Linked DNA regions of Notamacropus eugenii. The protein of the gene in region 3 purifies or fractionates together with the protein of the main gene of each other region. This does not show direct contact. Links are inferred from orthologs where the notes say so. Each region holds a gene or a part of one and is shown on either strand. Other genes may lie near its edges. The genes, in order: GON7, EKC/KEOPS complex subunit LAGE3-like, TP53RK and NUP43.

What was found.
Region 1: the proteins of TP53RK (region 3) and GON7 purify together in Homo sapiens (affinity purification with mass spectrometry; 5 studies listed by BioGRID and IntAct, counting the BioPlex papers as one, with this or other methods). This does not show direct contact. The link is inferred for Notamacropus eugenii from reciprocal best matches to the Homo sapiens genes TP53RK and GON7.
Region 2: the proteins of TP53RK (region 3) and EKC/KEOPS complex subunit LAGE3-like purify together in Homo sapiens (affinity purification with mass spectrometry; 5 studies listed by BioGRID and IntAct, with this or other methods). This does not show direct contact. The link is inferred for Notamacropus eugenii from reciprocal best matches to the Homo sapiens genes TP53RK and LAGE3.
Region 4: the proteins of TP53RK (region 3) and NUP43 purify together in Homo sapiens (affinity purification with mass spectrometry; 3 studies listed by BioGRID and IntAct, counting the BioPlex papers as one, with this or other methods). This does not show direct contact. The link is inferred for Notamacropus eugenii from reciprocal best matches to the Homo sapiens genes TP53RK and NUP43.

The regions. Positions count from the first base shown.
Region 1 is NC_092878.1:36,898,721-36,906,298, forward strand, and holds the start of GON7 (EKC/KEOPS complex subunit GON7), read left to right. Parts: upstream 1-4,576; 5' UTR 4,577-4,743; coding exon 4,744-4,954; intron 4,955-7,330; coding exon 7,331-7,461; 3' UTR 7,462-7,578. Other genes in the region: putative E3 ubiquitin-protein ligase UBR7, read right to left, coding at 131-191, 725-858, 4,228-4,377. UniProt on the Homo sapiens protein: Component of the EKC/KEOPS complex that is required for the formation of a threonylcarbamoyl group on adenosine at position 37 (t(6)A37) in tRNAs that read codons beginning with adenine.
Region 2 is NC_092872.1:451,136,973-451,144,872, forward strand, and holds the start of EKC/KEOPS complex subunit LAGE3-like, read right to left. Parts: upstream 3,002-7,900; 5' UTR 2,260-3,001; intron 2,228-2,259; exon of another isoform or gene 2,094-2,227; intron 1,421-2,093; exon of another isoform or gene 1,415-1,420; 5' UTR 1,188-1,414; intron 1-1,187. UniProt on the Homo sapiens protein: Component of the EKC/KEOPS complex that is required for the formation of a threonylcarbamoyl group on adenosine at position 37 (t(6)A37) in tRNAs that read codons beginning with adenine.
Region 3 is NC_092872.1:520,307,180-520,313,834, forward strand, and holds TP53RK (EKC/KEOPS complex subunit TP53RK), read left to right. Parts: upstream 1-4,359; 5' UTR 4,360-5,005; coding exon 5,006-5,315; intron 5,316-5,610; coding exon 5,611-6,089; 3' UTR 6,090-6,149; downstream 6,150-6,655.
Region 4 is NC_092873.1:241,801,644-241,809,129, reverse strand, and holds the start of NUP43 (nucleoporin Nup43), read left to right. Parts: upstream 1-4,485; 5' UTR 4,486-4,615; coding exon 4,616-4,735; intron 4,736-6,111; coding exon 6,112-6,234; intron 6,235-7,359; coding exon 7,360-7,437; intron 7,438-7,486. UniProt on the Homo sapiens protein: Component of the Nup107-160 subcomplex of the nuclear pore complex (NPC). The Nup107-160 subcomplex is required for the assembly of a functional NPC.

The DNA.
Region 1 (7,578 bases), on a different chromosome or scaffold from region 3:
ACAAGTAATAAAGAGATTGGATTCTAATGCGGATTAAGCTAACTGCTAAGGGAATTAAAAAAAAATTTCCTTTCTACCCATCCAATTGCAATTGATTTTATTAATTAAATGATTGATAAATCTTACTTACCGGAAGTAATTTGCATTCCAGGTTTTTAAACTTGCTATTTCCACAATCACAGCGAAAATTTCTGAAACAAAGGAGCAAGGTAATAATTTCAATTTATTCAAAAAATGTAATGTCTTACTTTTTACGTTCAGGAGTCAGGTTACAATCATGCTTCTTTTTTTTTTTAAAGTGGGCTTGGTTACTATGACCTGATCCCTGAACAAAAGTAATAAGAAAAAAATTGTACAGTCCCAGAAAAGAAAGAGGCCAAAAAGAATGCAGAAATAAGTAAAATTACTACAGATAAGGGTCACTTCCTTGATCCCAAGTATGTAAATTTAAACAAATGTAAATCAATTTGTTCTTTAACTGTAATTTTAAAAACTGCTCCCAAAAACTAATCCATATTAAAAACAATTATGATTACATTGTTTCATTAGCATACATCAGCTTTAATCACTTCTACACCTTTATAAAATCAGTTTTAAATGAAAAAATTGGGGCTAAAGGAAATACAGTTAAGAAGGCAAAGACTATATAAAGTATACCTCTTTGGACTGGAGTTAACATTTAAGAACTAATCCAGATATTTTAATGCTCTCTGAACAACTTTACCTTTTTGTATATAGCTCAAATAATTTATGACTTCCATGGCATTCATAACTGCATGCTAAACAAATTCCTGCTGGTTCCTCTCCTTCTGGGGTGCATGTGCTGCAGGCATATAATGCTTGTCTTTTTACAGAGCCCTGTCAGATGCACAAAGAGGAAGAAGAAAATCATCAAGAAAACAAATTCATTCAAAAGTGGTACAGCTGGCACTAAGCACTCTTTGTGATCTACATAATAAATGAAATTTAATTCAAAACCCATAGACATCTGTAAAGGTCTTCCCACACCGACTTACAAGCCTCTTTTTTAAAAGCACAACAGTACCATAAAATGGGGTATAGTTCAAAGGAGAAAGCATGTACAGTGGAACAAGCAGAAGCTCTCGATCACAGGGCCCTGGGTTCAAATCTTGCCTCTGACACTACCAATGTAACCTTGGACATGACACCTTACTTTTCCTGGCTTCAGTTTCCTCACCTACAAAATGAAGGTCTTAGTCTAGATGTCTTCTGAAGTTCCTTTCAACTTTACCTCTATGACAATGACATCCATATATGTACTGAGAATTTTAATACACCTTTCATTTAGGGCCCAGCCTACCTTTCGAACCATATAGTCTATGCTGTTTCTATTTCAGTCATATCTTTCCTTTTATTATTTTAAAATGTTTTATAATGACCAGCTTCTGTATCTTGAGTCGTATCACAAATCATTACAATTGCTTCCCATTTAAAAAGCCCTTTCCCAACCATTAAAATTCTATTCATTCTTCAAGGTCCAGCCCAAATTCTAGGTCCTCTGTAAACCTTTCTCTGACCCCTTCAATCTGAAATTCTCCCTTCCCTCTTCAGTCCTAAAATTCACTCGTTTGCTCATTTTGCACTTACTATTTACTGCCTAATATTTCTAGTCATTTTGTGTGTGTGTACATGCCCCTGGGCAGCTAGGTGGTGCAGTGGATAGAGCACCAGTGCAGGAGGACCTGAGTTCAAATCTCACCTCAGACACTTGACACTCACTAGCTGTGTGATCTTGGGCAAGTCACTTAACCCCAACTGCCTCATCCTGGGTCATCTCCAGTCATCTTGTTGAATATCTGGTCACTGGATTCAGATGGCTCTGGAGGAGAAGTGAGGCTGGTGACCTGCACAGCCCTCCCTCACTCAAAACAAAGTCAAGTCCAAGTCATGGTCTTCTTTGGCAACGAAGGACGAACACACGAACACACACACACACACACACGACCCAGTTCGGTTCCCAACTTCAAAAATCCATGAAGAAAAGAACCATGTCTTAAACATGTCTACATAAAGTCAATGCTCAAGAAAGGTATTTTATTAATTAAACTACACAAAAAATGAGCTGTTGTGGTCAATAAAGGTTTTGCCAAAATATAATTCTTCCAACCCCTTTTAAAACTCTAAAATGAATTAGGGAACTGCTTTGCCTTAATAATTATAGTTTGGGATAGATAACAATATTTGATGACTGAAAATCTTTTAGTGTCTCATCATCACTGCATATCAAGAAAGATCATAAAAGGTTATAGGAATAGATGTGGATGATGTAGGGGTTGTGCCCCCAGACATCTTAAAATACACTTTTTGTATTAAAATGCTTATACTACTTGCCTTATGGCTTAAATCTTTCATAAAAATGGGAAACAGCAAAATAAATTTAGCTAATTAAGTGTTAGCAGGGTTCTGGTTAATCAACATTTTACAATGTTGGTATTTCTGAGAACATGAAAATAATTAACCATCATATTTTCATCTTGGAAAATGTTTGGTCAACTTAGATATTTAAATCTGAAAGACAATTTACTTTATGGAAGAATAATGCCTTCTCCCCTTCCTCCCTTACAGAACAAACAGGTTTTTGCCTACCCACCTGCTGCAAATCAAGCTTTTTAAAAAAATCACCTCTGAGGTGTTTTAGCACAGCCCCAGGTGCTCTCTCCTAAAAGGCTACCAGGTTTAAACTCTCATTAAGATCAAGGCCTGAAGCATACCACCTCTAAGGTAAAGAGTATCGCCTCCAATCCCAAAGAGAACTCGATACTGAGAATTATTATTTAATGCTGCAGCAGCTCACACGTTTCTCAATGGCTGCTGTATTATGTTAGTCCACACCAGAAAACGTCTTCAAGTCCCTTTCTCTCCACACTCCACTAAGCTTTCTGGACAGGGATCTCTGCACATTTTAATTCTTCCGTCTAGTGTCCTTACTGCACTTCTACGCACCCCTAGCCGGTAAAGGGAACCCCTATAACCTTCATCCTTCCGCAGTCTTCAATGCCAAATCTGCTCTCTTCTCTCCCTTTTCCCCTATTATCCGCTCTTCTGGTTCCTAATCTAACGTTGAAAGCAGAGCTTCTACAAATAACTCGTTTCTACAAAATACTACATCACATCCACGCAACTGGACAGGACGTCCCTGACCCTCACCTCCCAAAGAAGCCAGCCCACAACTTACTATCCCTTCTTGCTCGCCCTAGGACGGGGAAATGCGATTTGGAGAGGGGGGGGGGGGGGGCAGGATAAAAGGCCTGAACCAAGAGGAGGGGAGGAAAGGAAGGAATGGGGTTTTCGCAAACAGTGACACTAAGAATAAGGCAGAGAGGTCCTGAGGAAAGGGGCACTGGGGGGGAAGGCAGGGGAGAAGACAAGGTGGGGGGGGACAGGGCCACCCTATCTATGAAAGGGAATGGGTGGGGGGTGGGCAAAGCCTCCGGGAGCTAACAGAAACGGGGGGGGGCGGGGAATAAAGAAGGGGAAGGGGGCGACGCTGGGAAGAGGACAGACCAAGAACGGGGGCATCTCCGTGCGCGCTCACTGGCCATCCCCTCCCATCTCCCACCTTCTGCAAGGAGCCTCCCTGATCCCCTTAATCCTGGAGTCTTCCCCAGGATTATTCATACTTTAGCCAGCATTTTTCCAGTTTGCACACGGCAGTTTACAGACTGGCCTCAGGCCAACAAGCATTTATTAAACGCCTACTGCGTGCCCGGCACGGCGCTGGGCGGCGGAGGCAGAGAAGGTCAAGAGCCACGCGGCTGGGCGACGTCCTCGGAGGGCAAGGACCACGCTAGCGGACTACCTGACCTCCAGGACGGGGGGTGGGGGGGCTGAGGACCCTGCGAGGCAGACGAGCCTTTAAGAGAGAACCAGGAAGCAGAGAATTCCGGAGCGGGAGCCGAGACACATCAGGAGTGAAGGGGTCGGGCTGGGAATGGGAAGGTGGGGGAGAAGTTGGGGGCCGGGAAGGGCGGGGCAGGCTGGGAATCCCGGAGAAGAGCGGGTCCGCACGGGGGTGGGAACTCCCTAAAGGAGAGGTGAAAGGGCAAAGAATGACGGGGTGGCCCTCCGTGGAGAGGAGGCAGGCCCAGGCCGGGCCCGAAGGCGCCCGGACTGAGCCCCGGGCACGGGAGCCCCGGGCACTGGAGCGGAGGCTCGCGCGGGCCCGGGCCGTGAGCCCCCCAATCTCGGCCCCGGCCCCCCGCCCACCTGCGAGTAGGAGCACTTCTCCGAGTCGCTGCCGCCCAGCACCGCGCAGGCCTCGTTCTCCAGCTCTTCGTCCTCCTCTAACACGTCCACCAACGACACCACGGGCTCCTGCTCGGACAGCCGACCCCCGCCCCGCTCGGCTCCCGCCATGCTCAACTGTCAGCCGGCAGGCCCGGAGCTCCACATCGGGGGCGGCGGGAAAACTGCGCGCGAGGGGTGTAGCCGGAGATGGAGGAACCCCGCCCCTCCAACTCCCAAAACCAATCAGAGCGCCGGGAGGAGAAGGCGGAGCGCGGGGGGCGCCGATTGCGGAAACGGAAGTTCAGGGGAGGCGGGAGGTGCCGAATGCGTAGGCTTTTTTTTTTTTTTTTTTTTTTTTGGTTTCCTATCCCCTCCCTTTTCCTCTCCCTCCCCCCCCCCCCGCCCCACTCCCCTCCCTCTGGTGGCTGCTGCGGCGGCAAGGGCCGCTTCCGTTTCCGGGTCGCTCCGGTGGCGGGCAGTTGAAGAACTGCCGTCATGGAGCTTCTGGGAGAGTTTGTGGGACGAGATGGGAAGCAGCAGCGGCTCCGAATAACTTGTGAGGGGCCGAGTGAGGCAGGCCGCTTCCAGGGACTGCTGTCGGGGTTGGCGCAGATGAGGGAGCAGGTGACCGAGCTCCTTCAAACTGTGGAAGGAAGAGAGGCGCGGGACCCGGCGGCGGCTGGAGGCTCCACCTCGGCCTCGGAGGGTGAGCCGGGCGGCGGCCCCGTTCCCCTGGCAACGGCGGGGGCGGGGGTCCTGGGCGGGGCTCTTTGTTCGGGGCGGGGGAGGACGGCGAGGCCGAGGCCAGGCTGAGCCCGGGGCCGAAGGGTGCTTGGTCCTGGTTGGTGACTTCTGAGGACGGGGTCCGGGGGCAGTGATGGGCTTCGAATTCTGACTCGAAAATGTCGGAGACGCCCTTCCAGCCCTGAATCCTCCGATCCGCAATGTCGCATTTACGTCTAGTCGGGTTGCTTTTGTCTTTTGAGGCCTCACAGCCTAAGTTAGTGCTCAAGTGTTGTCCGTTCTTTGGAGGAAAAAATAGCTATGATGATTGGAAAAAATGAGAAAGGAAAAATAATTGCAAACATTTATATAGAGTGCTGTCCGATTTCCTTAAAATCTTTCCTTAGGACAAACCCTGGGAAGTGGAAAGTGCAAGTGTGAATCCCCATTTTGTTTTTTACAGATGAGTATAAGCAGAGGTTCAGAAAGGTTATTTGCCAAAGGGCACACAGCTAGTAGGTGGCAGAGGGTACTCAAACCCTGCGCCTCGGACACCAAATCCTTTGCCCTTTTGCTCTTTCCACTGTACAAAACTGCTTTATCTTCTATGGTATAGTGTAGTACTTTTGAGCATCTACTACGAAAAGTATAGTATTTAGAGTTTCCGCTATGGTGCAAGGTGGTTCTTAGAGCATCTAAGTACTTCCCACCAAACAAAACTGCTTTACTGACCATCTACGAGGGTGAGGTTCGGTACTTAGAACATCTACTGTGGTGAAGTGTGGATGCTCTAAGTACTACATTGTATCGTGGCAGTAAAGCAACTTTGTATCTTCGAAGAACATCTAAGTACTGGACTGGATTTAACTGGAAGGAACTTTTTATTTTACCAGCTAGGGAAGGGATCTAGAGAGCAGAAGTGGCATGTCTAAATTGACACTGGTAATAGCAGAGCCAGGATACAGACTCAAGTCTTCTGACTTTGAGTCCAGGCTCTTTCCAATACAACACTAAAATATTAAAAAAAAAAAATCCATAATATTGTTAGTGTTGACAGATCCTTCCATGCCGTAGTAGATAGTTTTATAAGTTGCTGTAGTGGAAAAAGAAATTATGCAGTGATAAATCTCTCTGAATGTAGCAAGGCTGGCCCACTCAGAAGGGGTCCTTGCAATGCCCTTATTTGAAATCTTTCCTGCTTGTTAGCATTTGCCGGAGCTTGTTCTCTATGAGGGTAGCTTTCAAGAAATAAAGGTCCTGTCCACACCAATATGAGGCAGAAGAGAAAGACTTAAGTGGAGGTATCTTGCATATCTCAGTTTTATAGGTGGACAAACTGAGGCACCAATCCTTAAATGGCTTACCCATGTCATATAGGCACTGCACTTTGTGGTTGTACTTAGTGCCCAAATTGAATTGTCTGGCCATTTTTCTTTTGCCTGCTGCCAGTAGTATTATTATTTACTTAGGGACAAATAGGTGGTTTAGACATTAAAGTCATTAGACCTCAGACATTTACTGCTATATCACCTGGGGTAAGTTATTTAACCTCTCTTAGCTTCAGTTTTCTCATTTGTAAAAGGGGATAACAACAGCCCTTATATGACAGGGTTGCTGTGAGGATAAAGTAACATTATATAGACATATACATACATATATGTCTATATAATACTATTTAGGTGCTCGCTGTTACCACTTATTATTAGAATTATTTCACACACACATATAATACATTAAAAAATATTTGAGGAATGATTATGGTGCTCTTCCCTACTAGTGTGTGGACACTACTGAAAAACAAATCAACAATAGTACTGTAGGTTGGTTAGCTCTTTTAGGGCATGATATTGACACCAAGATGATAGTTTCCGTCCTTGTATAAACTAGGTAGTTTGGCTAATGAACCAAGTGGGGAGTTTCTATGGTTTCTAGCTTCAAACTCTGTTCCTGTCTTCTTGAAATAGCATGCTGTTGGCTGATCGATCATTAGGGAAGTACCACTACCCTATTTCAAAAATAATAAAAAAAACAACCTCTATCAACAACAGGTTAATAGTGTCAGAATTGTGCAGAAATAGTACAATTGTACATAATTGTACAGAATAGCAATTTTTAAAATTCAGGAATAGAATGAGACATTGCTGGATTATTTACCTCGTAAATTTAAAAGAGGTACATTTAATAACTCAAAAGTAATAATGTGCGTGCTTTTTTACCTCAGAAGTAAACATTATGTTATAAAATGCTTTGTCATTTTAAAAGTACTTTACGTATGTCATCTCCTCTGATCTCATTAACAGCCCCTTTTAGCTGTCCTTCAAGAATATTGTCATACAACAAATATTTGTTATTTTAAAAGGTGAAGACGATGAGGCTGAAGATGAAGAAAGTAACACTCAAAACAAAATTTACTCATCGGGACCACCTGCAAAACGGATAAAACCTTTACATAGTCTTGAATGTAGTTTTGGAGTAAAAAACTTTGGCTAAATCTTGGTATAAATATTTGGTATATATTGAGATCTTGCAAAATTTGTACTTGATTTTGGAAACGCATCTGTTTTTACCTTGGCTATTCTGTCAAAGGAAAATGTTTCTTCTGTATAT
Region 2 (7,900 bases), about 69 Mb from region 3:
TGGCTAGCTTCCACAATCTCTGTTTTAATTATCCAAACCTCTATCCATTATTCAGGGTAAGTAAGGTCCTCCTTGACAACCCAGTGGTCTCTAACCTTGCACCTATGAAGTCAAAGGACTTCCCGTCAAGACCATCCATTTTAAATAAATGTGAGTGTAAAGGACACAGAGGGAGGTAAGGAGGCAAGGGATGAGAATACCCTATGGAGCATCTACAAGGACAGGATCAGTTTCCAGAGGAGTTCAATTTGGATAAAGGTATCTAGATGGAACTTCACTGTGTAGAGAAGCCAAATGTCCAAATTCAAATCTGCTTCTAGTCTTGGCTACATAACTGACTACTGTAAGACTCTAAGCAACTACTTAATCCCTTAGAAACAAGTTCTTTTTTTGCAAAATGAAGATAAAAATGCCTGCCTATCTGTCCAAGTGACTTTTGTGAAGACACAATAAGAATAAAGACATGAAAGTACTTTGAGGTAAGTTCATGCACTCAGATATTTCAGGTGAAGAATGTCAGGGGCCTTTAGGGAGAAAGGCTTGGAAAAGGGATGGGGTAACTAGGCTGTCAACCAATGGGAGAAGGTCATCTCTGATTAATGGAGCAGGGATTCTTAATCTTTTTTATGTAAAATACTTTTTTGGATCCCCTTCTCAGAATAATATTTTTAAATGCTTAAAACACAAGAGGAATACAATGGAAATCAATTATGTCAAAATATAATTACCAAGATACATTTAAAAACAAGTTCACAAGGTTAAGAACCTCTCTATTCTAAAGGATATCTTACAGCACAGGGAGAACTGCATCAAGGATGTGGAAAATCAGAAGCCCAAACTGACAGTCTCATTCATTTAGTAAATCTATTGATACCCTTATGACAAGGAAAACTCCTTTCCTTATTATTACCTACTGAGGGGCACTTTCCCTAAAGTAGAGATGATGTATGACTTAGGAGACTTTGGGTAAGACCTGGATTTGATTATATGCCTCCTATACATAAGCAACTTTGTGACCTCACTGAAACTCTCTGGGCTTCAATTTCCACATTCATAAAATGGGGATGATACCTAGAGTGTGAACTTCACAGTGTGGTTAGGAGAATCAAACAATGTATGTAAGGCATGTTGTCCCTCTAAAGGGACGATATTTTCCCTCCTCCCCAAATACCTCAGTAACTTCTCACCTCTCTCCCCAAGCAGGTGAGGCTGATCCTCCAGGTTCACTCTCCTCACAGGTTGGATGACTTCCCTGATCTTCCCCAGGTAAGAAGGGTGGGACAACTTTAGCCCCAAGATGTGTCACTTCTTGGGATTCTCTGGAAAACTCTTAAATCAAGGCTGTGTCTCCTTCTAGGTTGGATTCAGGCTTTTTCCACCACCTTCATCTCTGCTGCTCCACTGAAGCCAAAACCTGTGGCTAAGAGGCAGAGTCACTTTAGTCAGGTCTTTCTCCCTGGGGCTACGATATGCCTTCCCAGCAAGGAACTCTCCCTCTTATATCCCGGCTTAAGGCAAGTTTGGAGGCAGCTAGGTGGCTCTGACGCAGCGCTGGTTGGAAGGCCTGAGTTCAAATCCAGCCTCACTTACTTTCTGTGTGACCCTAGGCAAGTGACTTAATCTGTTTGCCTTTACCATCCGGGGGAGGAAATGGAAAACCATTCCAGAATCTTTGCCAAGAAAACCCCAAGGGAGAGCTGGATGAGGCTGAAGGACTGAACCACAGCAGCAGCAGCAACATAAACAACAACGGGGCAATTACATCAGTCTGGAGCAAAGGCCCTAAAGAAAGATCCAGAGACACACACACACACACGCGCACGTTCACAAGCCATGCTGGAACACCATGATGCCAGAGCATGGGCGCTTAACAGCCGGGCTCCGCAGCGGGAGAGGGGGTGGGGGAGGGGCTCCGCAGCGGAGGGAGGGGGAGGGGCTCCGCCAAGGCAGCCTCCCCCAAGCCTCGGCTCCCGCTCCGCGAGGGACTCACGCCGACCTCACCGCAATTCTCACGATGTGGACATTAGCCCACAAACACACACAGAACGTGATCACACAACTATCAAAAGACACAACTCGGGGCACTAGCTTACAAACTCACACCCGCCTCGACAGAACATGACCACGCACGGGAAGACATGCAACCGCACACGACAGGGCCGTTCGGACTCACAAGAAGCGCAGGCGCATACGCACACGCATACGCTCTCACAAGCTCCCCATCTCTCCCACAATACAGCTCACACCCTCTTAGCATACCGTCGGGGCGGGGACCCCGCCGCGTGTCCACCAGAGCCTCCCGAGGACCAACTCACTCCTCACGTGACCCCTGCAAACCGGAGGTCAGAGCTCCCAAGAAACCGGCTGAGCCGCGGAGGCCGCTGGGAAACCGCCTTTGGGGACAGGTCGGGTTACAGCTCAGAGGATTCTGGGAATCGTAGTTCTTCGAGTCGCTCTGCTCAAGCGTAGTTTCCGTGACGACCTCGGTCCCTTTCCCTATTCCTTTATTGGTGGTCTCTGCATCTGTGAAATTTCCTGGCCGTGACTGATGAGGATAATAATAACAAATCATTTATATAACTCTTTAAAGTGTGAAAAGCTCTTTTGATCCAGAGAAGAAGCATCTAACACATTCTCTGTCCTAGACACCCATTGTTAAAATTTCTCCCCTCCCTTGCTCATAAGTGATTTTGTATTCCAGATCCATGTTTCTATCAATTGCTTGGTAAGTAGGTCCAGAATTGGAGGAGTGAGTTACTTTCTCAGCTCTTAGTTTTCTCGGGATGGCGATGGATTTAAATCACTTAAACTTCCTTAGGAAATAACAATCATCGCACGTGTATAACCTATAAAAAATCGCCTATTTTCTTAGGAAGAAGAGAGGAGAGGAGAGAGAAGGGATGGGAGGGAGAGAATCTGGAACTCAAAATTTTAAAAAAAATGAATGTTAAAAATTGTTTTTATATGTAATTGGGAAAAAATAAAATTATTCAAGAATAAAAAAAAATAACAAGCAACTAAGTAGATATCCGTTCTTTTATCCATTCTCAATTTTTCATTCTCAATGGTTAATTTAAATAGGTCAGGTTGGAATTGTATTAATCATCCACCACAGCTATTTTTACCCTTCTATTTGGGTATTAATTTTGATTTTAATTCTAACAATACAGTTTATTCAGATTTGACCCCCACATTAACCATTTCTTTCTGTTAGACTATGATAAATTTCATTTTTGTGATGATATTCAGTGTTTATGCTGTTTAGCACAATCTAACTCTATTCTCAAAGAGAATATTCATGAGATACGAATGATAGATGGGCTAGTAGATAGTGCACTACCCTTGGGATCAGGAAGACCTCAGGTCATGTTCTACCTCAAACACTTACTAGCTATGTGACTCTTGGCAAATCACTAACTTCTCTCAGAGTCATTTTCCCATCTGTAAGATGGAGATAATAGTGCCTATCTCCAGGTTTTTGTTAGGAGCAAGTGAGATAATATATATAAATGCCTTTTGCAACTCTTAAAATGCTATATAAATATTAACAGCTATTATTAGCTATTATATAGGAATGAGATTTCAGTATGATCTAAAAGTGCTTGGATTTTCTTGTTTCTGACTCTTCAATTATGTTTTCCAAAATATTTTGTCATTCTTTTTTATTATTTCCACCTTTGTATGGAAGTCATTGTTATTGAAGTTTATGTTAATTTAATTTGAAGAGTCTTATTGAGTCCTTTGTAGAATTTTCTTGCCACCTCGTACTCTACCACAAATGGTACACGAGCTGCAATTACTTTTATAGTCAACTTCTTCTAAATGTTTATGTAATACAAGATGAACAAGTGGCTCATGAAATTATACTCTTATTCAGAGACAGCTGGGTAGCTCAGTGGAAAGAGTGCTGAACCTGAAATCAGGAGGACCTGAATTCAAATACAGCCTTAGACACTTACTAGCTGTGTGACCCTGGGAAAGTCACATAATTTTTGTTGACCTCAGTTTCCTCAATTGTAAAATGGGAATAATGACGACACCTACTTTGCATGGGGGCAGCTAGGAGGATAGAGTGGACAGAGTGCCAAGCTTGGAGTCTGAAAGACTCTTTCCTGAGTTGAAATTTGACCACAGACACAACCTGCTATGTGAACCTGGGCAAATCACTTATTCCTTTTTACCTCAGTTTCCTCATCTGTAAGATGACCTGGAGAAGGAAATAGCAAACCACTATAGGATTTCCCAAGAAAAACCCTAAATGGGGTCTTGAAAAGTCAGACACAAATGAAAAACAACTGAACAACGAATGAGATAACATTTATAAAGTATTTAGCTAACATAGTACCTGGAATGTAGTGCATGCTATATAAGTGCTTGTTACCCTCCTTTTATTATCTTTGGGCCTATGATAATACAAGAAACTTTAACCTGGCCAACTCCTTTACTGACCTCTTCAAGAAAAATCTATACATCATGCTTTTAGCTCCTGTCTTGTAGTTTCATTTATAGCCAGAATAAAAAAAAAAAGTTCTACCTGAACTTTGAATGACAAATACCATTCGGTTCCTACTGTAGCATGTTTATACATTCATGGGACAACCACCTCACATTTATAGGACCAACAGTAAAACTAGTGCTTGTAATTTCAAAACTCTAATATTCTTAATTCTAAAAACTGGATAATTATTAGCCACTTTGTCTGCTTTTCTCTTACTATCACTGAAGACTGCACAAGATCAAGATCCACTTTGTATTTTCCTTTATTTCGTGGGTTCTGATAGCCAAAGAACTATTGGATGCTAAGTTTCTATCAATGCTGCCTAATATTGCATTTTTTTTCCCACCAGCCATTTAGTAGTGCTGGCTCAACTGGAGTGTCTAGGTCTTATTCACATGAATTATTGTCTAGCCACATCTTTTCTATTTGTACTGCTGATTTTTTTAAAAGCACATATGCACAATTTTACGTTTATCCCTGTGAAATTCTACTGTATTAGATTTGGTTCAAATTCTGGTAAAATTCTTGTTGTTATCCAGTTGTATCTGACTCTTGATGATCCCTTTTGGGGTTTTCTTGGCAAAAATACTGGAGTGGTTTGCCATTTTCTCCTCCAGTTTATTTTATAGATGAGGAAACTGAGGCAAATGGGGTTAAGCTGTGAAAGACCTAAAATGCCAACCTAAGGCATTTGTGGGACATCAAGAGCCATTGGAGGTAGGTAACATAATAAAAGTAATTTTTCAGTAAGAATAGGCATCAATATGTTAGAAAAAGTGGAAGATGAAGGGATAGAGACCACTTAGGAGACATTTCAGCTTTTTTTCAGAATCTGTCTTCTACCAGGGGACCTCGTCTAGAAAGAGTCTGGAACTGCATATCTTCTTTCAAAATCAAAACCAGAAGCAGGAGCTGTTCTCTCCCAATTTCCCATGATCTTTGCACTTCAAGAAGGCACAGAGCATTGAGTAATCCTTCCACCATGAGGAGAATCTTATGACTAGGCTTGAGTCCTAGATTACAACATTAACTTAAGTATGAAGGGACGGTCTTGAATTGGCAGCAGAACGTGGCTATGGCACTGTCCGAAAGTCTACGTTGGGAGAGGAATGGAACACCAGGGCCACTTAGTAAAGCAAAAGCTAGTAAGGCAAAATTGGGGCAAGTAGTCACTTATAAGGAAGTCCTCTCAGGGAAGAGAGTTCACAAAGGCAATGAATTTGATATGAAGTCAAGACCAAGCTCTGACCTTATGAAACATCACAGTTCTAATACGAGAGAGAAACCATAATTGTAGAATGTGATAGATACCTCTATGTTTACACTTTCTCAGCTCAACATGGCTTCTTTTAGTTAACTTTTCTTAAAGTTCCATGCAACTTTTACTTATCAAATCAGAAGCAGGGTTTTTGTCTGTTTGTTTCCAGCCTCAATGAACTGATTGATAAAAGTCACCATGAGAGTTGTCTGTTATTCTGAATATTTATGGCCTATTGCTGCCTTTCTAATTCACTCAGTGGATTCATTTGAACTTGAAAAAAAGGATCGTCTGGCTGGCTGGACTTTTACAGTTAATTTAACATATCACTATTCAGTCACATTTCAGTAATCAAGTTTGTTATAGACTATCCCTTAAACACAGTTTACTCATCACCAAAGAACTCATATTGAAGAGAAAATCATTTATTACAATGAATTGTTGGAAAATCTTCAAAAATACCCAGAGAATTGATATGGGAGAAAAATCTTTAAATTTAAGCAATGTAAGTAGATTTTTAGGGTAAGATCACATCTTATGGAAAATGTTATCCACATCCAGAGAAAGAAATGTGGAATCTGAATGTAGATCAAAGCATACTGTTTTCTCTTTCTATTGTTGTTTTGTTTTTTCTTTCTCATGGTTTTTCCCTTTTGTTCTTATTCTTTTTTCACAACATGACTAATGTGGAAATATGTTTAGACATAATAAATATGTTTAATAATACATGTATAGCCTATATCACATTGCATGCTGTCTTGGAGAGGGAGGAAGAGAGAAAGGGGGAAATTTTAGAACTCAAAATCTTGTAAAAATGAGAGTTGAAAATTAAAAATAATTTTTTTAAAAAAAGATCACATCTTATGCAACATAAAATTCCTTGTACTAGAGAAAAACACTTCAATTGTAATTCGTGAATATAAAAAGCTTTCAGGCATAGATCAACCTTTGGAAGGAAAATTTAATGCTGGATGATTCATATTGGAAAAAAATCCTAATACCTAGTTAATGAACATTGGGAAGACTTTAAATGGAATATACTATTTACTCAACATCAAATAATTCATACTGGAGAGAAAATTTGTTTTAAAAACTAATTTGGATAATGTTGTAGTCAGGCATGAGGTTGTACAAGCAAATCAAGTCCAAGGTTCTCAGTCAGCACAAGGACCCAGAGGTTCACAGCTTTTTGGCTTTTATACAATTTTTACATAGCACAAGAGGGGAAGCAGAATTCACCAGTTAACCTGTGATTAGATCAGGACATGTGCTGCTGTCTCTTAAGTGGGATGTTTTACAGTGTTGAGAGGTGAAAACTTACAGTCACAAAATGGGATCACTTTGGCCTAACAAATCTCTACCTGGAGAGTTGGACATCTGGTTTTTGCCATCTTTTTTTTTGCATCTTCCCTTCCATTCACTGGTTTCCTAGCTTCAGAGAGTAGCTTGAATTTAAAAACTCAGTCTTCTTGGTATTTCTTTTCACTCTTGTAAACAGTCACTTAGATTATCATCCTCACTTCACCATATGTATTTAGGCAGGAATCCTTTGTATACTGTTAGGCTGTGAGGAGCAAATGAGCTATAATATTTGTAAAGCTTTTAGCCCCAGTGCTGGGCTCATAGTATGTGCTCTATAAATGCTAGCCATAATGAGTGCTATGCTTCTGACATGTATTGTAACATGGTGAAAGAGTTAATTTGTAAAGGGACACCTTTCCCCAACATTCAGGTGACAAGAGAATGCTTTATGATTCTAGTAACTTTGGGTCTTCTTCTTCCTGGGGTCCTTGGCAGTAAGTCCAATAGCATGACACCAGCTACCTCCTCCCCAGACCCATGGCAGAAACAATAACATTGCTTTTCTTGTGACTGAAGATGCATGTCTTGTGACTACATGACCCAGGATAGGTCTGTGAGAGATATGTCCCATCTCAGGGGCTCCCTGAGATTCTGCAAACTACAAGGCTCACCATCTTGAACAGGGAAAACTCAAAAGAGTAGCAGTAGCAGATGTAGCAACTTCAGGGAGAACCTGACCTTATTATGAAATTTCCTTCTTAGCCACTATGGTTAAATGAGAAGAAGTGAGGCTACACATAGCAAAGAGATGTGAAATAACCATCAATTCTATAAAAAGTCCA
Region 3 (6,655 bases):
TGGCATGCAGTAGGAAATAATTGTTTCCTTCCTCTTAAATAAAACAGGCTCAACACATTTCTATATTGACAGGCTTCTGGACAGTTTATACAACATTACTCTTGGTGTCACACATATTGTCAGATTTGGTTGAGGTGTTGATTACTTTGCTGAACTGATTTTTTTTCCATTTCTTTTCTATTCTTTTCTTACAAAGGATGACACTCTTTACAGGAAGAGGGAAAGAAATGTTTGGAAATGAAAGTAAAGTAAAAAAAACTCAAAAGACAGCCAAACACAAAATATATTTTTATAATTAAATTCAGAAAAAAAAAAGCAAATGGGGACAGACTATAGTGGAAAGCTCACTGGACTGAGAGGCCAAAGCCCTGAGTTTGAGTCTACACTCTACCACTTACTGGTTGATGACTATAAGTCTCATATCACTGGGCCTCAACTTCCTCATCTGTAAAATAATCCCTGCCCTTGGCCCTTTCCCTGGGTTGTTGTGAGAAACTGCTTCATAGCCAAAAAGCTTCACAAACTGGAGCAACTGGTGTTCTCCAGAGGAAGGATAATACGATGAATAAAATAATAGAATAAGGAGAATGGTAGATGCTGTTTATTATATTAGATTGTCAAGTCTTATTATTAAGATGGAACTCAAAACAGACTGTCAAAGGGACTTAATTAGGCAGGTGTTCCGAAGGGGTTGGTAACCCTGGTGATGCTTATAATGATGATACCAATAATGATGCTAATTAAGTGGTGCACTTTGAAGGCTGAACAAGGGAGGGGCAGTTGCTCTGAAGTAGGCTTTAATTGCTTTGAGCGAGAAAACGATCAAGAATTTGCACCTTATGGAGACAGCAGTTGCAGACAGCTCTGTTGTAGAAGGCCTTCTTTCTGTAGAAGGCTAGGTTGCCCAGAGTGGGATCACACCCCTCACTTCATTAGCTGGGGTTGGGAGTAGTGGGGGGCTAACTACTCTTTTTCACTTTCATTTCTAGCTCTTTAGAATGGATGTGGGGGGAACAGAACTATCCTTACAAGTGGACTAAGGAGCTGGACATGAAATGGGAAGACCTGGGTTTAAGTCAGACCACAGCTAGTGAATGTTACTTTCTTTGGCCCTCTGTAAAAGCAGGATTCTTGTACTTCCTACTTTGGAAGGTGATTGTAAGTCCAGTGCTTTTTACAGTATAAAGGAAATGTGAGCTGTTATTATTAATTTAAAAGTTATAGGATCATTGATTCATAGCTGGAGGGACTCTTAGAGGCCCTGGATGCAGAACAATAACTTCATTTTGTGGATAAGGAAACAGACCAAGAAAGGTTAGATGACTTCCTAGGGTTCTGAGATTCTTCTCTAGTCATCACCTCCGAAATTCTAGGATTTTATGAGGGTAAGAACTTTAAGAAGGGCAGCACAGAGAAGGGGAAGTCAGAGCAAAAGTGGATGCAGGAAGTCAGCAGAAGGATAAGCTCTGGAGTTGGGAATTTAGAGATAATCCAATCATTTTACTAAAAGCAGACAAAAGCCCCCTTCCTCTGATGTCTCTGGCATTCAATCTACCACTTCCCAGCCTCTTTCCTCCTTGGCTCTTCCTCTTCCATTGTGCCCTTTGGAAAATTCACTTAATCATCAAAGCATTTTTCTTTATCTTCTATCTCTTCTTTTCATCATCTTTCCATCTTTCTAGATTCAGGGGAATACAGTTTTCTCCATATGAGAGAGTCACCTTCTCCACTGCTGACTGTTCTGCATCTCATGTTCCCCAACATACTGATCAGGAGAAGCAAATGTGTTCCTGGTTCCCTATGGCCACTATAAATCAATTGATCAATCAATTAGCAAGAATTTGTCAAACGTCTAATATGTGCCAGAAGCAGCACAAGGACCAAATTATGAAATCCTCAAGGAGTTTCCATTCATTCTATTTGCTACCAGAACTGAGCATCTTTTCCAACTCTGAGATTCACTCCATCCATTTATAGCATCTTCTCCATATCCTTAGTGTTGTTGTCTATTGGCCTCCAAGTCACTTTCCTTCATTTCCTAGAGTTCTAAGCCTGACCGACAACTCTTCCTCCACTTTGATTCCTCCCATACTTGGGGGGTGGAAGTGAGGTGGAGGAGTGGGCTTCAATATTCCCAACAATGTCTCCTCAAGAACTCTGGTCTCCCACTTCACCTGTCTCCTTAACTCCTATGAACTTATTTTCATTCCACTTAAGTTGATCACAGAAATATCTTACCATCACTCCTTGTTATGAACTTGAACTATGAAATTCCTTTCTCTGACCATAGTGTCCTGTTCTGTCTTTCCTTCTACCACAGCCTCCTAGTCTTAGCTTAGTCTCTCATCTTCAGCTATTTACTCTTTCTCACTCCTAACCCTCCATCTCCAATCTCTTGTCAAGGCTTGTTGATTTTACCTTTAAAACATCTCTCCCATACACCCCATTCTCTCCTCTGACACTGCCTCTCAGTACAAGCCCTAACCACTTCAGCCCTGGACCATTGCAAGAGTAGCCTGCTTGTGAGTCTGTCTCAAGTCTCCCCCAATTTCTATCCATCCTCTACTTCGCTGTCAAAGTAATCTTCCAAAAGCACAGGTCTGACCCTGTTATCCCCTACTCAACAAACTCCAGTGGCTCCCTATCAACCCCAGGATCAAATATAAAATGCTCCGTTTGGCTTCTAAAACCTTTCATAACCTATTCCCGCCTCAACTTTCCTATTCTTCTTACACTTTACAACCTTCCCCCATTCCTACCCCCCTCCCCAGTCCCCTCAGGTACTCTGCAGTGACACTGGCCTTTTTTCGATTCCTCAAATAATCTCCTGACTCCAGGCATTTTCACTAGTTGTTTTTCATGCTCAGAATGCTCTCCTTCTTGGTTTCTCTGTCTTCCTTCAAGTTCTACCCCAAATCCCACCTCCTACAGGAAGGTCACCAGCCTCACTTTCACCTCCAGAGCCATTTGCATTCAATGGCCAGATATGGATCTAGAGGTCAGGATGCAGTGGCCTTTTCAAGCCAAAGTCTTTAACAGGTCTTACTTTGACTATGCAAAGCCCACAGGGATTAAGGTTTAATAAGAAATGAGGCAGAGAATGGCCTCTTTACCTCATTCAAACAAAAAAAAATTCAATCTGGGAGGGGAAGATCCTCAGGGTTTCTGGCCAAAACAGAAACAACGCTATTTATGCTCACTCTGAACCACTGGAAAGGCAAAAGACCATCCCTGCTCTCAAGGATGGTCTAATGGGGCAGACAACATGTAATTGACTCTGTACAATCAAAATATACACTAGATAAATCTGAAATAATCACCAAAGGGAGAGCAGTAGAATTAAGGGGGATCTGGAAAGGCTTCCAGCAGGAGGTGGGATTTTAGGAAGGACTTATTCTCCACTAAGCTACTGAACACTAACGGAGGAATCTGACTAATCTGAAAATTGAGTCCACCACAAATTCATGTCACCTACTTTCAACTGAGCTCACCTTCCAGAGACTTACAATATTTCCCCTGAATTTTACTACCACCCTGGGGTGTCCCTCCCCCACGTGTCCCCAAAGTAGAAAGTGCTTAGGGTTAAATAGAAAGTTGTGAGGCAAGGTTTATGGAAGAGTCAAATTATGTTCAAATCCCATGTCAAGCATTCACTAGATAGATAGCCTTACACAAGTCACTTAAACTTCTAGGCATAAGTTTCCTTTTCTGAAAAACGAGGGGTTCAGACTTCAGCAATGGCCTCTGAGATCCCTTAAATACACAAGATGTCGTTTGTGTATTGTCTCCCTCAATTAGAAAGTGAACTCCTAGAGAGCAGGTAGCACTTTGTAAACACTAAGTAAACACTTAGAAGAAGCTTTTCCTTTTCATCTGCCAAACTACAGAACTCTATTCGGACAACTCCTTGTACCACCAAAGAGCAAGATCTAGATTTACTCCTATATTCAGCTTCCACTTTGTCCAGGAACTCCTCTTCTGGCTATAGGAAGTTTGGTCCGGAAGTCTTTCATCACTGCCACTGGCCATCTTCTCTGTCTAGTTTTCTTGCAGCTCACTGTTTGGCCCATCAACTCCTTTGCTATGCACCACTGATTCCTCACTGCCTTTACTGAGGCTGTGGTTCCCTGAAAGGACTGCCTGTCTCCAAAGAACTAAATCCAAATGTAGCCCCTGTTCTTTCTCCCTCTCTCCCCTACCTCTCTCTCTTCACTTGCCCCTCACTCCTCCCTTCCCCTCCCCATTCTTTCTTTCCCTCCCTCTCCCTCTCCTCCCTTTTAAAGGCCAACCATGTTAGTCTGGCTATTGACTTCATCAACCAGTCACCACAGATGGTGGCAACCAGCACTCACCACAAAGTAAAGAATTCATTTTATTAAAGAGACATCTCAGAGTAAGAACAAAGGGACAATCACGTCAACTCATTCAATTCAAATGATCAAGTGTTTATCGAATACTAAGTGTCAGTTGATGTGCTAGGTGTGGGACACAAACCCAAAATGAAACAGTCCCACCTTCCAAGGTCGGAGATTCAGTTGTGGGAACATCCACCCGCCCACCCGCTGGAGGCGCGCTGGAGTTGGCGGCCCAGGGGATGAGTGTGAATCCCCGGATGCACTACCAAGCACAAGCACTCGATAAGAGCCAGACACCAGGCAGCTACAGAGAGGCAGGAGACGACGTGGCGGTGAGACCCTAGGCAAGTCACTGAACTTTTTAAAAATTACTTTTTAACATTTATTTTAAAAAAATTTGGGTTTACAATTCTTTCTCTCCCTCTACGCCCTCTGCCACCCATGGAGAGGGCAAGCGCTAATAAAAACAAGTGAAGGGCTTGGACTCCGAGAACCCTCTCAACTCCCGATCTATAGGCGGGTTGAAAGTTCCGAAGAGGAGGGGGCGGAGCTTCCGGGAAAAGCCGAAGAGTTCCGAAGAGGAGGACCAACCACCGAGGGCTTCCGAAAAGAGCCGAAGAATTCCGAGTGGTCGTTGAGAGGCGGGCAAGATGGCGGCCGCCGCTGAGACTGGGAGGGAGACGGCAAAGGCTGCGGCGGAGACCGCGGACTTGGCCGCGGACCAGGAACAAGAGCAGAAGCTGGAACGGGAACGGGAGCGGAGCAGCGACTTCCTGCGGGGCCTGGAGCTGGTGAAGCAGGGGGCAGAGGCGCGCGTGTACCGCGGCCGCTTCCTGGGCCGCGCAGCGGTGGTCAAGGAGCGCTTCCCGAAGCGCTATCGGCACCCGGCCCTGGACACGCGGCTGAGCCGGCGGCGTACGGTGCAGGAGGCTCGGGCCCTGCTGCGCTGCCGCCGAGCCGGTAAGCGCGTGTGCGCGTGCGCGCGCGTGCGCAGGGGAGGGAAGGGAAGGGGGGAGGGGAACACTTTACACCTGGCAAAAGATCAGTCAGTTTCCTGGACAGTGACTGCGGGAACTCTTTAAGATAGCAAGTTTAGATGAGATGCCACCCCAGCCCTTCTAGTTTTGTTACTTTTGCTGAAATGATTTGGCACGATAAGAAAACTCTGCGACCTTTACAAACATGTTCAATAAACACTTTTTCAAGTTATTAAAAATAATACAAACTCCCTTTTCGTTTTTTGTCTCTCCTGCAGGGATATTAGCCCCAGTGGTCTATTTTGTAGACTATGCCTCCAATTGCTTATACCTGGAAGATATTGAAGAGTCCTTGACTGTCAGGGACTATATTCAGTCCATTCAGGGGACTGAAACAGATGCTGAAAACCTCCCCCTCTTAGCCAGAAAGATGGGGAAGGTTCTGGCACACATGCACGATGAAGATGTTATTCATGGAGATCTCACCACCTCAAACATGCTCCTGAAAAAGCCTGCTGAACAGCTGAGCCTGGTGCTCATAGACTTTGGCCTCAGTTTTATTTCTGCCCTTGCTGAGGATAAAGGTGTAGACCTGTACGTCCTAGAAAAGGCCTTTCTTAGCACGCATCCCAACACGGAGAGCTTGTACCAGGACCTTCTAAAAAGCTATTCGTCAGAGTCCAAAAAGTCAGGCCCTGTGCTAAAAAAGTTAGATGAGGTCCGGCTGAGAGGAAGGAAGCGGTCCATGGTGGGGTAGGAGGAGATTCTGTGGTAGTACCACACAATTCATTTCCAAATAAAATTCCCAGGGAGGTTACCGAAACGTGTGTTGAGATTTTATTTTTAATTTTTTATATTCTGAACTTAAATACCCCCAAAGGAGCCTTTTTGTACACACAGCAGAACATAAAAAAGGGGATCTCGATGAAATCATAAATCTCCATTTCACATTACTTTTTTCAAAAGTATGTAATTCAATTGTTACGTTCGAAACTGTTCTGCTTATCTATCCTTCTTTCTGAATGAACTTCTTTCTATTCTGTGGATTTTAAAAAATGTTACAATGCCCCTCCTATTTTTGTATCAGTCCTGCTAAACCCCCTCACCTAACTTTACTCCCTCAAATTAAAAAAAGAGAGAAAGAGAAAAAAATCCTTGTAACAAATAAGCATAGACAAGCAAAACCAATCTATACGGTGTCCACAAATAGGTGTTTCTGTGTCTCGTGGGCATCATCACTCTCCAGAGGTGGTTTTACATGCTTCATCACGTTTCATGCTTTTATCATCCCTTGCCCACTTCAAACCCTGGAACACAACCAGT
Region 4 (7,486 bases), on a different chromosome or scaffold from region 3:
AAAATAAATTTCTTTATGATTTACTATCAGTAAATTTTGATTTGTATAACTATTTTATATACTGACATACCTAGGATCACATAAAAATTTCTCAGGCAAAAAGGGGTCACTAGCAGAAAAAGTTTAAGAAGCCCTGGGGTAGAGGACTGAGGGCAAGAAGCAGTATAAAATGTAACCAACCTGACTGTGAGAGAAAAGGGCCAAAGTCAACCATTTGTAATGTTGTCTATGACCTTATTTGAATGAGGAAAGTGACCAAGGAACTAGTATATGCTTGGAGGGAATATCCAATGCACTAAGGGCCTTCCTCTAGGTCTTTTTATGTATAGAATGAAGAAGTATTTTTTATTAAGCACTTCCTATGTGCCAAGCACTATGCTAAACACTGGGGATTCAAATGAATAAACAAAGCAGTCCCTGCTCTCAAGGATTTCACAATTTTCCCTAAATAGGGAAAGTAAATGAGTTTTCAGTTGTAGGGCAGATGGAAAGGTGCCAAGGTATTTAAGGTGTAGCAACAGGGCAGATGACAAAGCCTAGAAACCCATAAGGTGAATTGGCAGGTCAGACTGGCAATGCCTAGGGTAAGACTGATGGTAAGGCCCCATCTTAACTGAAAGGATGGTAGCAGGTAACTCCCTACTTATCCAAGCAGTGTGAGCTTTATATGTCCCCAACCAACAACTGGTGGGAAAGGGTAGAGTAGGCCTAAGGATTAAATAGACCTTTAATTACCTCAGGAAGGGTATGGGAATGGCAGTAGAGTTAATAGGGCACCACCATCCTTCCAGTCACCCAAGTTCTCAACTTTAGTATCATCCTTACTTTTACTGACGTCAAATTTACAATTAGTTGTCAGATCTAATTTCAATTATTACAACTTTTTTTCAGATATATCCTCTTCCTTTCAATCACACAGCTATCACTTTCATTCAGACTTTCATCATTTCTTAGCTGGATTATAGCAATAGTTTAGTTTCCTAGTTCAAAATCTGCTTCAAGTATTTCCCCTGTTAAATCCATAATCCATCCTCCACACAGCTGCCAAAAGTGATTTTCCTTAAAGCTCAAGTCTGACTATATCACCCTTCACCCCTGCCTCTATAAACTTTAGCAGTTCTTTATTCTCTCTAGGACCAAATATAACCTCCAAATATACCTGGAATTTAAAGTTTTTCACAATCTGGTCTTTTTCTACCTTTCTAGGCTTTTTATACATTATTCCCCTTGATGCATTTTATGATTTAGCCAATTGAGTTACTTGCTATTTTTTCATATCACAATTCATCTCTTTATCTCAGTGCCTTTGCAATGACTGTTCCCCAAACCAGGAAATACTTTTCCTTCTTACCTCTACTGCTTAGGATCCCTGGCTTCCTTCAAGATTAGTCTCAAACACCACTGAAATGGATTACAATTTATCTGTTCCTTCTTATCCTATGTTACTTATCCATGTCTCTACATAAATCTCCTATAGAGGATCTACCCAACACATCAGAAATAGGCCAAGAATTCTTAACCTGGGGTCCTTTCTGGAATCAAGCAATATACATAGTGGTTGTATGTTCTCTAAACATCTCAGTCAATTGTATGGCTTAAAAGATGAAGTCTCTGATAGAAAATCTTACAGGAACACTACTGAGGTCTTTCGATACTAAATCCATTGTTCCATCCAGTAACAGCTCAGTTGGGCTCTTTATTTCGGCTACAATAGCCCTGTCACTCACATTCTCATGGTGTGTTAAACAAAACTATAATTACTTTACATTCAGTACATGATTGCATTTGATAATTTAGATAAAAAGCTTTCATAGAGACATCAGAATTGGAACTACAGAGTTGTAAATACACTCAGACTATCTAATCCAACCTGTACCTGAAACAGAATCCCTTCTCATTTTCAACATACACTCAACCAGCTTTTGCTTGGAGACCTCCAGGGAGAGGGAATCTCCTAGAGGTAGCCCTTTCTACTTTTACATAGCTCTAATTGTTGGGAGAATTTTTCTTATATCAAATCTAAATTTGCCTGTCTTGCATCTTCTACCCATTACTGCAAGTCTGCCCTTCAGAGCCAAGGAGAACAAATTTAAACTCTCTCCCTCATGATGGCCCTTCAAATACTTGAAGACTGCTTATCATGGTCCCTCTGTCTTTTCCTCTCTAGGTTAACCCTCTCCACAGTTTTTTCACTTATTCTGGCTGCTTTCCTCTGGATACTCTCCATCTTATCAATGTCCACTCTAAAATGTGGCACCCAGAACTAAATACAATACTTCAAATGTAGTCTGACCAGCGTAGAGTACAGTGAGACTGTGTGTTTGTTCATTGCCAAAGAAGACCATGCCATCAGAGAAATGATGACGTGACTTGTACTTGACTTTGCTTTGAGTGAGGGAGAGCTGTGCAGGTCACCAGCCTTACTTCTTCTCCAGAGTCATCTGAATCCAGTGACCAGATATTCATCAGGATGACTGGAGATGACCCAGGATGAGGCAATTGGGGTTAAGTGACTTGCCCAAGGTCACACAGCTAGTGAGTGTCAAGTGTCTGAGGTGAGATTTGAACTCAGGTCCTCCTGACTCCTGCAGTGGTGCTCTATCTACTGCACCACTTATCTGTATTACTTTCCTAATTCTGGATCCCATGGCACAGTATGAAACTTGAGACTGCATCTGCTTTCTTGGCAGCCACATCATTATTGACTCTTACTGAGCCTGCAGAATACAAAACCTCCCATATCTCTTGCAGATGGACTGATGCCTAATTATACCCCTCCTGTCTTTTACTTGTGAAACTGATTTTTTTTTAAAAGATCAAGTGTTTTTACATTTATCGTATTAAATTCCATTTATTAGTTTTAATTCAGTGTTCTAAACTGTCAAGATCACTCTGATTGCTGACTATTGATCTTGTTAGCTATCTTTCTAACTTTCTGCCATCTGCAGATTATACAATAAACATGCCATCTACCTCTTTATCCAACTCAGTGATAAAAATGTTAAAAGGCATAGGACTAAGCACTTTCCAAGCTGACACTGAACTATCAATAACTCCTTTTTTGGTCCAACAATTAAACCAGTTCCTAATCCACTTACCTTATATAATTACCTCATCCTTCTACCTTGTCCGGAAGATTAGCATAAGAATCTTTGTTGTACCATTTTGCAGAAATCTAGATAAAGTATATTCACAGCGTTCCTCTGATCTAGCAATCTGTTTCATTAATGTAGACTGAATGATGAATCCAAACTGGCTTTTTGTGATCTCTGCTTTCTTTTCTATGTCAACTACCACATTTTTGGAACTGTTTCACAGGAGTTGAAGTCACTTAGGCAGCTAGGTGGTGAAATAAATGGATAGAGCGCTGTACCTGGAATGTTTAACTCCCCGCTCAGGGGCTTACTTACTAGCTGTGTCCCCCTGGGCAAGTCAATTAATCTTTGCCTGCCTCAGTTTCCTCAGCTGTAAAATGGAAAGAGTAATGGTGCCTACCTCCGAGGGTTGTTGTTAGGATGGAGATGATATCTGCCAAGTCTTTTGTAAACCTTAAAGCCCTACGCTAGGTATAAAGTCAAGGGTGCTACTTTCTTGGCAAAGATTCCATCCTTTTCCTTTCCTTTTTGTCCTCCAGTCCTGCAGTGCTTGTTTCTAGCCTGCAAAGGCTGTGGACTGCCTCAGCAGGCACCCCCCCAGTCTTTTCAGTGCCCTGATGTGGTTCCTCTGGTTGTGATGCCCTAAGGGAGTGAGGGCAGTTTAGTCTTGACATCTCCTCACTCAGCGTGGGACACAAGACTGGATCTCTTCTGCTCCTTACAGGATGCCTGGAAGGCAGTCTGACCGCGAAGCTTAGAGGAGCAGGCGGGGAGGGCCCTGAAGGCCTCCTACCGGAGCTGTGCTTCTCTGGCAGGTAACACAACGCCGCAGAAGGGTGAGTTCATGAAATGAACCGCGGGGGAGCTTTTCCTCCAGTTTTGTTTGTTTGTTTATTTATGCAGGTGAACAGCAAAGTCTCATAGCACGGAAAAAACAAAAAATTAGAAAGACGTCATTTGGGGATTTGCTTTAAGTGGGTATTTAGGAAACACCCAATCACTCCAGGATTTTAACAACGATCGTGTCCTAATTAAAATGTACGTGAAACGTTACAATGACAGCTTGGGGGAAGGGGAGGGGACGGGGAGGGGACGGGGAGCGCTTCCTTAGCTTCACAAAGTTGACGACAGGCAACGAGGAATCTGCTAGAAAGCTGAAGGGGAGAGCAGCGGAGAACCAACCGAAGGGCAGCCCCAGGACCTTCAGCTACACAGTCTTCCATCCCAAACCCTCAGGGCTTCCGGCATCCCACCCCCTCCCAGAAATCGAAAGCCTTTCGGAGCCTACCGAAGAAGTTTGTCTTTCCTCGCTCGCCGTCTCCCGGTGCTTTCTCTTAGCCAATCAGGATGCCGGGCAGGTGGTCAAAGCAGACCGGAAGAGGCGGGCCCAGGGTCTTTTCTCGGCCGCCGTCTCCCGGTGTCTTCTTCTAGCCAATCAGGATGCCGGGAAGGTGGGCAAAGCAGGCCGGAAGAGGCGGGCGCAGGGATTGCGCGCGCGGTAGAGTTGCGGCCTCTCAGTCATGGAGGAGATCTTTGCCAAGTTCGTGTCCCAGAAGATCAGCAAGACCCGGTGGCGGCCGGTGCCGCTCGGGAGTCTGCAGCCTGCCGAGACCTTCGCCACCGGCTCTTGGGACAACGAGGTATCCGCCTCTTCCTTGTCTCGTGGCTGCCAGGTTCCCGCAAATCGCGCGCTCCCCTTTCCCATCCTGCCGCATCTTCTTGGGCTTTCTTGGCCTTCTCCCCCACGCACGCGGAGCAACCCACGAGCTTCGCGCTCGTTCTGAAAGGACTCCCCCCGCCCCCCGACTCGGGTCATAGACGTCGGAGCCAGGAGGGATGTTAGGTACCATCCATTCCAATGCCGCCCTCTTTAACTGAGGCTCAGAGAGGTTAGGCTTCCTGCCCAGGTCACACAGTAGGAGGTTGAAACCCAGCTTCCCCGATTTAATTGCTTTTTTCCTATCTATAATATTTACTAGCAGTGTAATTAATGTAATAATATAAATCCCGAGGGGGTCATTTTTCCTCTCGGGAACTAGCCAGCTCCGCTGGCCCCTCAGGGTTCTTCCTCCAGATAACAGATTGTCTGAGTGTTACCAGGAGGATTCGGAGACCCAAATAATTCGGGCAAAGTCACGCAGGCAGAGAAGCATTAGAAGACACCTGTTACCCCTAGAAGTCAACACGCATTTATTAAGTACTCACTGTGTGCCAGATTTCTGTACTAAGTACTAGGAATATTTTTTCTTAAAGCTTCAGTCTCTTCCCTCTGAGATTTCTTACGATTTGTCTTGCTTTTAAAAAGTGGTCTGCCTACCATCATCCTCGTTAGAATGTTAGCTTCTTGTGGCCAAGGACTGAGGCTTTTTTTTTCTTTTTTAAACATCATTTCCCAATTGACTGGCTCCCCTTAGTTTCCAGTTTTTGGCTACCTTGGAAATACCGGCTATAAATATTTTTGTACGTAAGACTCATAGTGCTATCCCTGTGTAAAAAGGTATACACAATTTAATAACTCTTTGGGCATTAAATTATATTCTTGAATGGCTGGACCAGTTTATAGCTCCGTCAATGGAGTCTCAGTGTGTTTTAATAACTTTTTTATGCACTTAATCTGTTTCTTATAATTATTTTTCTGCATGCGTGATCTCAAATATAAATCTGGAAAAAGATGCTTAATGGTCTTCTTAAATGAATGATAACCCCCTTATAAATTCCAAAAATTTCATGCCTCCATGATAATAGTTGTCCTCTTAGTATCAGTGACTGAGACAATACATAATAAGCTAGTGGTGCCCATATATAATATTACTGGACCTGTTGAAATAGTTATTGGCCCCATTCCTCCTGTTTCTCCTAACATTCCTACAGACTGGAAACTACTTGAGTGGTTTAAACTGTTACCAAATAATTGATCATCCAAAAGTAAAACATGGAATATTTGAAGTGAACGAAGATTGTCATTTTATAAAATGGACTTAATCTGTCATAACATAAAAATGATACTAATTTACAGGAAAACAGTGTTTCACTCTGGTGTATTGGAGATTTTGGTAATTTGAGCACCGAAGGAGGGTTTGAAGGAGATCATCAGTTATTATGTGACATCAAACATCATGGTGATGTAATGGACTTGCAGGTAACCTAGACATTTTAAGACTTAAAATACTATAGAATATTATTTCTCTAAATATATATTCATATGGCCCAGAGTTAATCTATTGTTCACTCTTCTGAGATTGAGAATAGCTTAAGAAAGCCCAAATTTATATAAATATCCATTTATCATAATTAATATTTTTGTCTGTGCAGTAACTTTTTAAAGTGCTTTCGTTACTTTGCTCTTACTGATAAGGAAAGGCAATGTGTAATAGTTTTGAACTGGAATGAGCAACAGAAGACTTTGGGTTGTCATACCATATAAGATTTTAGCCTCTATAAGCCTTATTCTCCTCTTAAAGTAGTACTTGCCATGCCTACTTTACAGAGTGCTAAGGAAAGCGTTTTATAAACTGTAAAGTACCATGTGGGAAGCGTGAAGGCTCTGTGGATGGAGAGCTGGCTTTAAAGTTGGAAAGACCAGTTTCAAATCTTGTCTCCAAGACAGTGAATTACAAACTAGCAGCAGCTCTGTGTTGCTGATTTGCATGTGTAAAAATTTCCATGCTGAGTTTCCTTCACTGATGACATAGGTTCAGATTTATCCCCCTCTCCTCCCCTCCAAAAACCACTTTAAATAATGAATTATTTATAATTTTGTTAATTTCTTTGAGCTTCAATTTGTTTGTTTTTCAATCATTTAGTCCTGTCTTACTCTTTGTGACCTCATGGACCATACTGTCCATGGGGTTTTCTTGGCAAAGATGCTGAAGTAGTCTGCCATTTTCTTTTCTAGTGGATTAAGGCAAACAGAACTTTAGTGACTTGCCCATGGTCACACTGGTAGTGTTTGAGGATGGATTTCAATTCAGGTCTTCCTTACTCCAAGCCCAGTGCTCTATCCACCGAGCCACATAGCTAGCTACCTAAACTTCAGTTTACCTCTCTATAAATTGGAAATAACATCAGCCTGACCTTTCTCACTGATTTGTGAGAATAAAATGAAATAATATATTTGAAAGTCCATCATAAAAAGTAAAGTGTTATACAAATTATTATTATCTTTTATGTTTAAAATTGTGGTTATGTTTATCATTAAGTAAAATTGTACAATTGTTTACTAATATTTTGAATCTGTAACGAGCAGGATTTTTCTACTGCTTAGTTTTTGGACCAGGAAAGAATTGTAGCTGCTTCATCAACAGGAAGTGTAACAATTTTTCTTCACCATCCAAATAATCAGGTAAATAGCATTTTATACAAAAATTGAATTTTTAAAATTATTCTTAATG